Sus scrofa: one gene and its partner. The protein of the gene in region 2 purifies or fractionates together with the protein of the main gene of each other region. This does not show direct contact. Links are inferred from orthologs where the notes say so. Each region holds a gene or a part of one and is shown on either strand. Other genes may lie near its edges.

Evidence for each region.
Region 1: the proteins of PLA2G4A (region 2) and S100A10 purify together in Homo sapiens (affinity purification with western blotting; 3 studies listed by BioGRID). This does not show direct contact. The link is inferred for Sus scrofa from reciprocal best matches to the Homo sapiens genes PLA2G4A and S100A10.

What each region holds. Positions count from the first base shown.
Region 1 is NC_010446.5:97,267,487-97,271,408, forward strand, and holds the start of S100A10 (protein S100-A10), read left to right. Parts: upstream 1-1,593; 5' UTR 1,594-1,614; coding exon 1,615-1,746; intron 1,747-3,922. UniProt on the Homo sapiens protein: Because S100A10 induces the dimerization of ANXA2/p36, it may function as a regulator of protein phosphorylation in that the ANXA2 monomer is the preferred target (in vitro) of tyrosine-specific kinase.
Region 2 is NC_010451.4:128,153,768-128,157,589, reverse strand, and holds part of PLA2G4A (cytosolic phospholipase A2), read right to left. Parts: intron 2,992-3,822; coding exon 2,834-2,991; intron 1-2,833. UniProt on the Homo sapiens protein: Has primarily calcium-dependent phospholipase and lysophospholipase activities, with a major role in membrane lipid remodeling and biosynthesis of lipid mediators of the inflammatory response.

The DNA of each region.
Region 1 (3,922 bases), on a different chromosome or scaffold from region 2:
CACATTCTTTGGCATGCTGATTCCTGTACTTTTCTGGGGATTAAGGGGTAGAACTTTTGACATGTACTTGCTCAATCCTTGTGTTCACCAACTCCACCCTCTTCCCCCATAAAAGATAGTATTCAGGGATATGTTACACACGCATATGTCAGCAGCAGAAACCAGGCTGAAACCACGTCTCTGGTTCCTGTATCAACCCTTCAGGGGAAGATGCCAGACTTTCCTTCAACCTCTGTTCAAAACCTATTCTTATCTTTTTTTTTTCCCACGGTATATATTACAGTCTCTATTCAAGTTCATCTGTTTCTTATCCTGGAGTGATTTTAGGTGCTGTTAACTAAAGCTACTCTGTTCTGGCCAAAGCCTGCCTTCCAATTAAGCAAAATTCAGTGGGCTCCTGTTGGGTACCAAGTGTATGTCTTGATTAGACACATGTCCTCAGATTATTATACCTGAATATAACAATCTGACATCTCCTTTATCTTTTTATTTAATTAATTTATTTATTTAGGCCGCATCCCTGGCATATGGAAGCCCCCAGGCCAGGGATCAAACCCAAACTGCAGTAGTGGCAATGCCAGATCCTTAACCCACTGCACCACAAAAGAACTCCTTTCTTTAACTATTCACAATGAAAAGCTCTTGCTCTCCCACTGCACCCCAGACGGTGAGAGTAGGTCTTTTGTCTAGTGCTGCCAAGGATATATCAGATCCCCAAAGGAATTAGGATGGATATACTATTACCTGTTCTTTTTCAAGAAAGTAGATAATGGGCTTTGGGTAGCTTTATTTGAGGAGGGCAACTGCAACTCACTACCAAAGATGCAGATGTTTGTTAGAATCTATAGCAAGTTCAGAACTTTTAGTAAAGAATACATACTCAGCATATGAAAGTCATTTGTAAGCAGATTTCTTAAGCATAGACTTAAACTAAACTAAGTTACTTAATTCAGCTTTTGGAGAATTGAAGTTTTCGTATTAACCAAGCTTGACTGTGCGAGTTGTTGGTATTCAGCTATATCTGAGTCCCATTTACCGGTGCCAAGAGAAATGATGAAACATCTCTCAGTAGGAGCTTTGTCAGTTAAAAAGAGGGGCACTGATCTTGCTTTTCCAAATGATTAGAATTTTTATTCTTCATTGGGTGATTTGTGCAGTTAACAGGCAACTAGATCAATCCCTCCTTCAGAGCAGCAGTACCTAAAGTGCCTATTTCCATCAGCAGGAGACCCCAAACCTGGGATGAATTGGTCCTGATGTATTCATTGAATTTTACAGTTAAAAAGGATGGACTGGATGAGCAAATTGCCCTCTTCCAATCATTCTCAAAAGACTGGTAAATCATGTGGTTTAAAAGTTAATGTAGGAGTTCCCGCTGTGGTGCAATGGGATAAGCTGCATCTTGGGAGCTCTGGGATGTAGGTTCGTTCCTGGGCTTGGCACAGTAGGTTAAGGATCTGGTGTTGCCACAGCTGTGGCTTAGGTGGCAGCTATAGCTCAGATCTGATCCCTGGCCTGGGAACTCCATATACCACAGGGCAGCCAAAAAAGGGGGAAAAAATGTAAATTCTGTCGCTTCACATCCTTTAATAGGTTTCAACAGACCTCACGAAAATGCCGTCTCAAATGGAACATGCCATGGAAACCATGATGTTCACATTTCACAAATTTGCTGGGGATAAAGGCTACCTAACAAAGGAGGACCTGAGAGTACTCATGGAAAAGGAGTTCCCGGGATTTTTGGAAGTAAGTATTGAAAGGCTCAGAGAGAACCAGACATAGAAATCAGTGCTTCTGGGCCCTGGTTCCTGTCCCTTCCTCTTTCCAGCCCTTCCCGGGGGAAGTCAGTGCTAGAAAGGTGTTTTCATTCATTTATTGATTAAATATACTGAGTGCCTACTGTTTGTAAGACAGTGGGGTTGGAAACAGAAAGTAAAGAAGACACTGCCTCTGCCCTCAAGGAGCTTTCAGTTTGGAGGTGAAATGAGACTACACACAAATCACCACAGTTTGAGGTGTTAGAGCGACTTTATCTGGAGTCATCTGCCTCCATAGAGACAGAGTTGCAGGAAAAAAGGCCTTGCACCAGGGAGTAATCAACCAGGGTGCCTGGCTGTCCTCAGGCTGTCCTTTGAGCAGCTTGAATCTCCTTTCTTAAATCCCTTCAGATAAAGGCTTTAAAATTCTTTTTTCGAGCTCTACTATAAGGGAATGGTGTGAAATTTACTAAATGAGAGCCAGGCATTGCTCAAGAAATAACTGCTTTTCCCACTGAAAAGGCTGTGTGAACATAGGAGAACAGTTTGGGTTTATGCCTCACCTCTGACAGCCTGAGAGGGATCAGTGAAGGAAGAGGATCTCCCATCAGCTCAGATACATCATTCAGGACATCAGGCCACAAAGCACAGTAGTTCTTTTATACTGCAGGCCCTGGAGAGATGGTTACTGCATTTCACTGAAAGTGAAACATTGCCTAACAAAATAGTAGATTGAAATGCAAGCCCTTCTCTCGCTGCCACAGTCAGAGGTGCTTGAAGCATCACTGTGCTTGGTGTGGAATATTGCATTACCTCTAAAGGGTGGAGGGAGGTGATGGTTAAAGGCAGGGTCCTTTCTCTTGTCATCTGCCTGGTAAATGGCATTAGTCAAGCCTCTGACTCCTGACTCAGTAAACATAGGGTTTTGTAGTACATAATGATTCGCATGTCATCAGTACCAGTCAAACAGATATAAATAGCTTAACTAGCTTCTCAGAGCTGCAGTTACCACAATGCTCTCCCAGAATGAGTTCGAGGATACTGTTGCTCTGCTTTTGTTGAGTTCTGTGATATAGCCCCAGACCAGGAATTAGATGATCTGGCTCTGCCCGAACTAATATCAGGCAGGTTGCTTCAGTTTTCTGGGCCTCAGTTCCCTCCTCTGTAAAATGAGAGGGCTGGACGTGATTACCTCCAAGATCACTTTCACGTTCTGTGACCCTTCCAGGCAGGCATTAAATTCAAGGACAAAATGTGCTTATTGTAAAGCTTCCCACCACACAAACAAAGGCACTCTGGGTCTATTCCTAAATACTCAGGAGTTAGAAGCCAGGATGACCATCACATGAGACAAAGACCCTTCCTCCTAAAGGCTCTGTGGCTTGATAAATTCAAGTGTTCAGCAATGAGTACTAAACATGGCAGTTTAATTTATTCAAGGATGGGGTCATAATTCCAGGCACATCCACACTCGCTGCATTGACAGAGCATTATGTCATCCAGATTTCACTCCTTCTGATCTCAGCCAGGAAACTGGGGTCGAGGCCAGAATTAACTGAAACCCACCAAAAGCAGAGGCAGCTGTATAGACAGGTTGGAGTTGATTTCTTAGGGCATGTGGGAAATGCTGCTGCTTCACCTTAAGGGATTTCTGAGTGCAGTTTATAAACATCCAGCACACTGGAGACACTGAGTGTCTATTCCCTCCCTCACATATACGAGTCCGTGGAATTCATAAATACTTTACCTGAGCCCTTTAACACCGGTAAAGGGCCATATCTCCTTCTGGTTGACGGCATGGACCCTGCAGGAGAAACCACCCTTTCCCACTTCTAAGCACCATCACTACAGAAAGGAGCGATCAAGTCAATCACAATGAAAGCAGGATAAAAGAAAAAACAAAGGGGATCTTGCCTGTCCATCCCAGTTCCATGCACTGGCATTAAGAGTCATGGGGAGTTTAGGATTCCATTACATATATTGCTTTTGAAGTACATTCAATGTAAAAACATCCAGCAAAGAGTACAGGATGGCATAGACGGGCCAACGCATTAAGAATAGAAGCAATCTTAGAGACACTCTGGTCCTACTTCAATTCTTAGCTGTTATACAAAGGCCCACCAAAGCTATGTGACTTACTTAAGGTCACCTGGCTAATGTGATGT
Region 2 (3,822 bases):
GGGCACTGTTCAGCAAAAAGGAATTTGGGAGGACTGAGTAAGTGCAGAAACCTGGAGCTAATGAGAAAGCCAGCCTGCTGTCAAGAAGTGAGCAGAAACAGAAGTTCTCTAAAGATGACCTGGCATTTAGCTCCAGCAAAGCAGGCCCACTATGAAGCAACAGAAGCACAAGGCTGAAGAGACAGATTGGCCTTTTCAGAGTAAAGATTTAACTCAGAAGGTGAATCAAAAATGAAAATCTCCCTTAAGTCACGGTGTTGTGGCCGCAAAGTTGAAACTGTCTCCATGGGATTGGTAGTCAGACATCTGAATTAGAAGAGTTTACATTTTCTCTTTCTTCTTTCTTTCTTCTTTCTTTACTTCCTCCTTCCTTCCTTCTTTTATTTCCTTCCTTCCTTCCTTCCTTCCTTTATTTCCTTCCTTCCTTCTTTCTTTCCTTCTTTCTTTTTTTTCTTTTTGCTTTTTAGGGCTGAACCCAAGGCACATGGAAGTTCCCAGGCTAGGGGTCAAATCAGAGCTGCAACTGCCATCTACATCTAAGCCACAGCAGTACCAGATCTGAGCCACATCTGAGACCTACACTGTAGCTCGCAGCAATGCTGGATCCTTAACCCACTGAGTGTGGCCAGGGATTGAACCTGCATCCTCATGGACACTAGTCGGGTTCATTGAGGCACAATGGGAACTCCAGTCTGTAGTCTTATTTCTGGCCATTTGCAAAGGTCTTCAGGTGTATTCATCATGGTACAGGATACAGACACACATAGGTATGGATCCCATTTATTAAACAGCTTCTGTTTGCAGGGCACTGTTCACACATCACCTGATTCACGATTCACTACTGCCACTATGGCAGATGCGGTTACTCCTGAAATGGAGACTGAGGCTCAGAAAGTTCAAGTAGCTTATTCAAGGTCACACAAGTAGCCCATCTAAGAGCTAAGCATAAAGTCCATGACCTTGCTTCTACATACCATACCAGAAAAAGTTCTTAGAAGCAATCGAAACCTGCTTAATTAAATGGCTGGTGAAAAATCTACATCTGATGAATTCTAAGTCTGGACAGTTATTCTGGAATTCAGTCTGGTTTTGTTCAAGCTTTAACTTTTTCATCATGCATCAAAAAAACTACTTTTAAGAATGTGTATAAAATATATAAATAGAACCATATACATACACACACACACACACACACACATATAACCATATCCATAATAACTTAGCAGATTTTATATAAACCAGAACTGAAAACAATGAAAAAAATGTAGCTGTGTATATATTTCTATATATACAGATACACGTGCATGTGTGTGTTTGTATGTGATCCTTTTATTTTCCCAAGTCCAATAGGGTATTTATATATTCTTACCATCTATTTTTTTCCATTTGAGGAGAACTGATCAAGCTTAATACATTTCATCCCAAGGAATACACAGCATAGTTCTGAGTTTATTGGCTCTACACTGAAAAATTACTCCTAAATTACTCCTCACTTCTTTTCTGTTTTAATAGCATGAGGTTTTATAAAACACAACTCCATTCTGAGAACGTCTGCTTGCTCCCTATCAATCATAGATTAAAACACCAATTTTCTCTTAATATTCTTTAAATTTTCATCATTGCCATAGAAACAATGTAACATATGGATTTCAGATGTTCACTGAATAATAACAAAGTAAAGGAATAAATCTACTTGGAAAATGACATATGCTATTAATTTTGCTAAGCATGTTTTACATAAATTATCATGTATTATTCACAAGTGAAGGCTGACAAGAGACACTTTAGAGTTGCAGGACCTGAAGCTTACTGGGGAAAAGTTCATATGTTAACAAAAATTAAAGATATTGCTTAATAAACATATGATGGTGGAACCGTTATAACTGCACACAATTGATTGTTACTAGCCTCAGGCCAAAATAGACAAACAAGCACACTAAATGTGCCAGAATTCTATGAGCTCACAAAATCTAATTAAATCTCACATGCCCAGAACACCCGTCCACACCTGTACCTTATTTTGGTCTATTCATACAGTCTCCAAAAAGACTGGCAAATGAGGTATGAGGCCCTTCCCTCTCCATTTACTCTTCCTTTCTTTTGCTTGTACTCTTTGTTTCCTAATGTGCGAAATCCAATCAGGCTAATGAACTTGGGCTTTTAAAACTGATCATCATTTGTCAGATCTGTGAGGTGGCATCACAAGCCATCATGGTTCTAGTTACACAACAGTGGTCTCAAATGGTGCATTAGCAGCTAAAGAATTTTACACAGAGACAGAATCTTAGCAGCAGACACACTTGTGAGGAACTAATACTGAAGAGAATGACTTGTTTCTAACGGTTCTGAAGCAAAACATACTTGGTATCTCCAGGGCTAAAAATGGAGAAGAGAGGCTGCCACTTTGAGCAACACTGCCAAGATCTAAAAAAATAAAGACATTTAAAAGCATGAGTGTATCCATTAAAGTTCGTGCTATTTTTGCAGATAACTACACTTTTGGTTACACTCATTTTCTTTTTATCACTTTTTTCCTATTCCTATTTTATTTTAATATGGGATAAATACACGAGATATTTTGGGAAAGAAGCTGAGAGTTAACCAAGCCGTCAATCAAATGAGAGTATAACAGGTGAGCTCTGCCAATTTGGAGGCCTTGGCACTCTTATTTGTTAACTTTACAAGGCTCACCAATAGCTCATAAAAAAGAAAATGGTACAGTTGGGGGGGTGGTATTCATAAACCTTATTTTTAATTAACTAAAAAGAGGTTTTGCTATGTCCATGTGGTATGAAAGAGTCTGACATCGTCAACGATCATAGAAGATACTTACATCAATGTTGTTCAGGGTATTGAAATACATCAGATCATGCAGTCTTTTGAACGCTTGATTTGGATATTGGAAGTTGAAGGTTGAAAATGGTGATTCAGGGTCATCAAAGATATCAAAATCAGCTATCTCTTTCTCTTCCTGAGTTTCTCTTGGAACACCTAAATATAAGAAGAGTCTCAAATGGCATAATTTTGAAAACTGTAAATTATCTCTAAAACCCAGGCATATAAAACATATGCATAGCTATTAACACAACACTGGGAGCCTCTTCTGGGGTCATGTAATTCTTAACATAGACTAATAGGCTTCCACCCATATTCCCTGAACTTCAGCATTTCTGTAGGTTCTAAACAGACAACTTCCAATGGACAGGATTTGCCTCTCTGAGTCTAAGGGCTTTCTACCCCTCCCTGCAACTGCAGAAGGCGGCTTTGTTCACTAGCATCAGGCTGGAAATGCCAGTAAATAATATTGTGTCCCAGGAAGCAGTCAAACAAAGACTCTATGGTATTGGTATATAAATTCCCCCATTCCCTTGCCACTTGCTGTGTTACTGGGAAGGATGATTCTGGACCACAGATTCCATTCCATTTCCTAGAGTTTCCCAAAAGGATCAGGTTCTCCTTGAGATGGCCAGCTTAATACATCTTTTGTTATCTGCCTTTCTTCCCTTTTTCAGTTCCCTACTATCTTACTAAAATTCCCTTGTGCACCCAAATAAACTGTTTGCACTTGAATCCTTTGCTTGGAAACTGCTTCTCATAGAACTCAAACTCATACATTAATTAACTGTCTTCATGTCACAGGAATCCCTTTCACAGTCCCTTTTGGAGAATTAACAGTGATAGAAAATTCAAAATATTCTAAGTTTTAAGTATTTCACTCTTCAATAACTAAAAAGGCCAGCCAATTCTTCCTTCTCTTGTGTTGAAGTGACTCATAATAACGTCTACCCCTACTGATCCCTCCTCTGACTTCCTCCACCACCT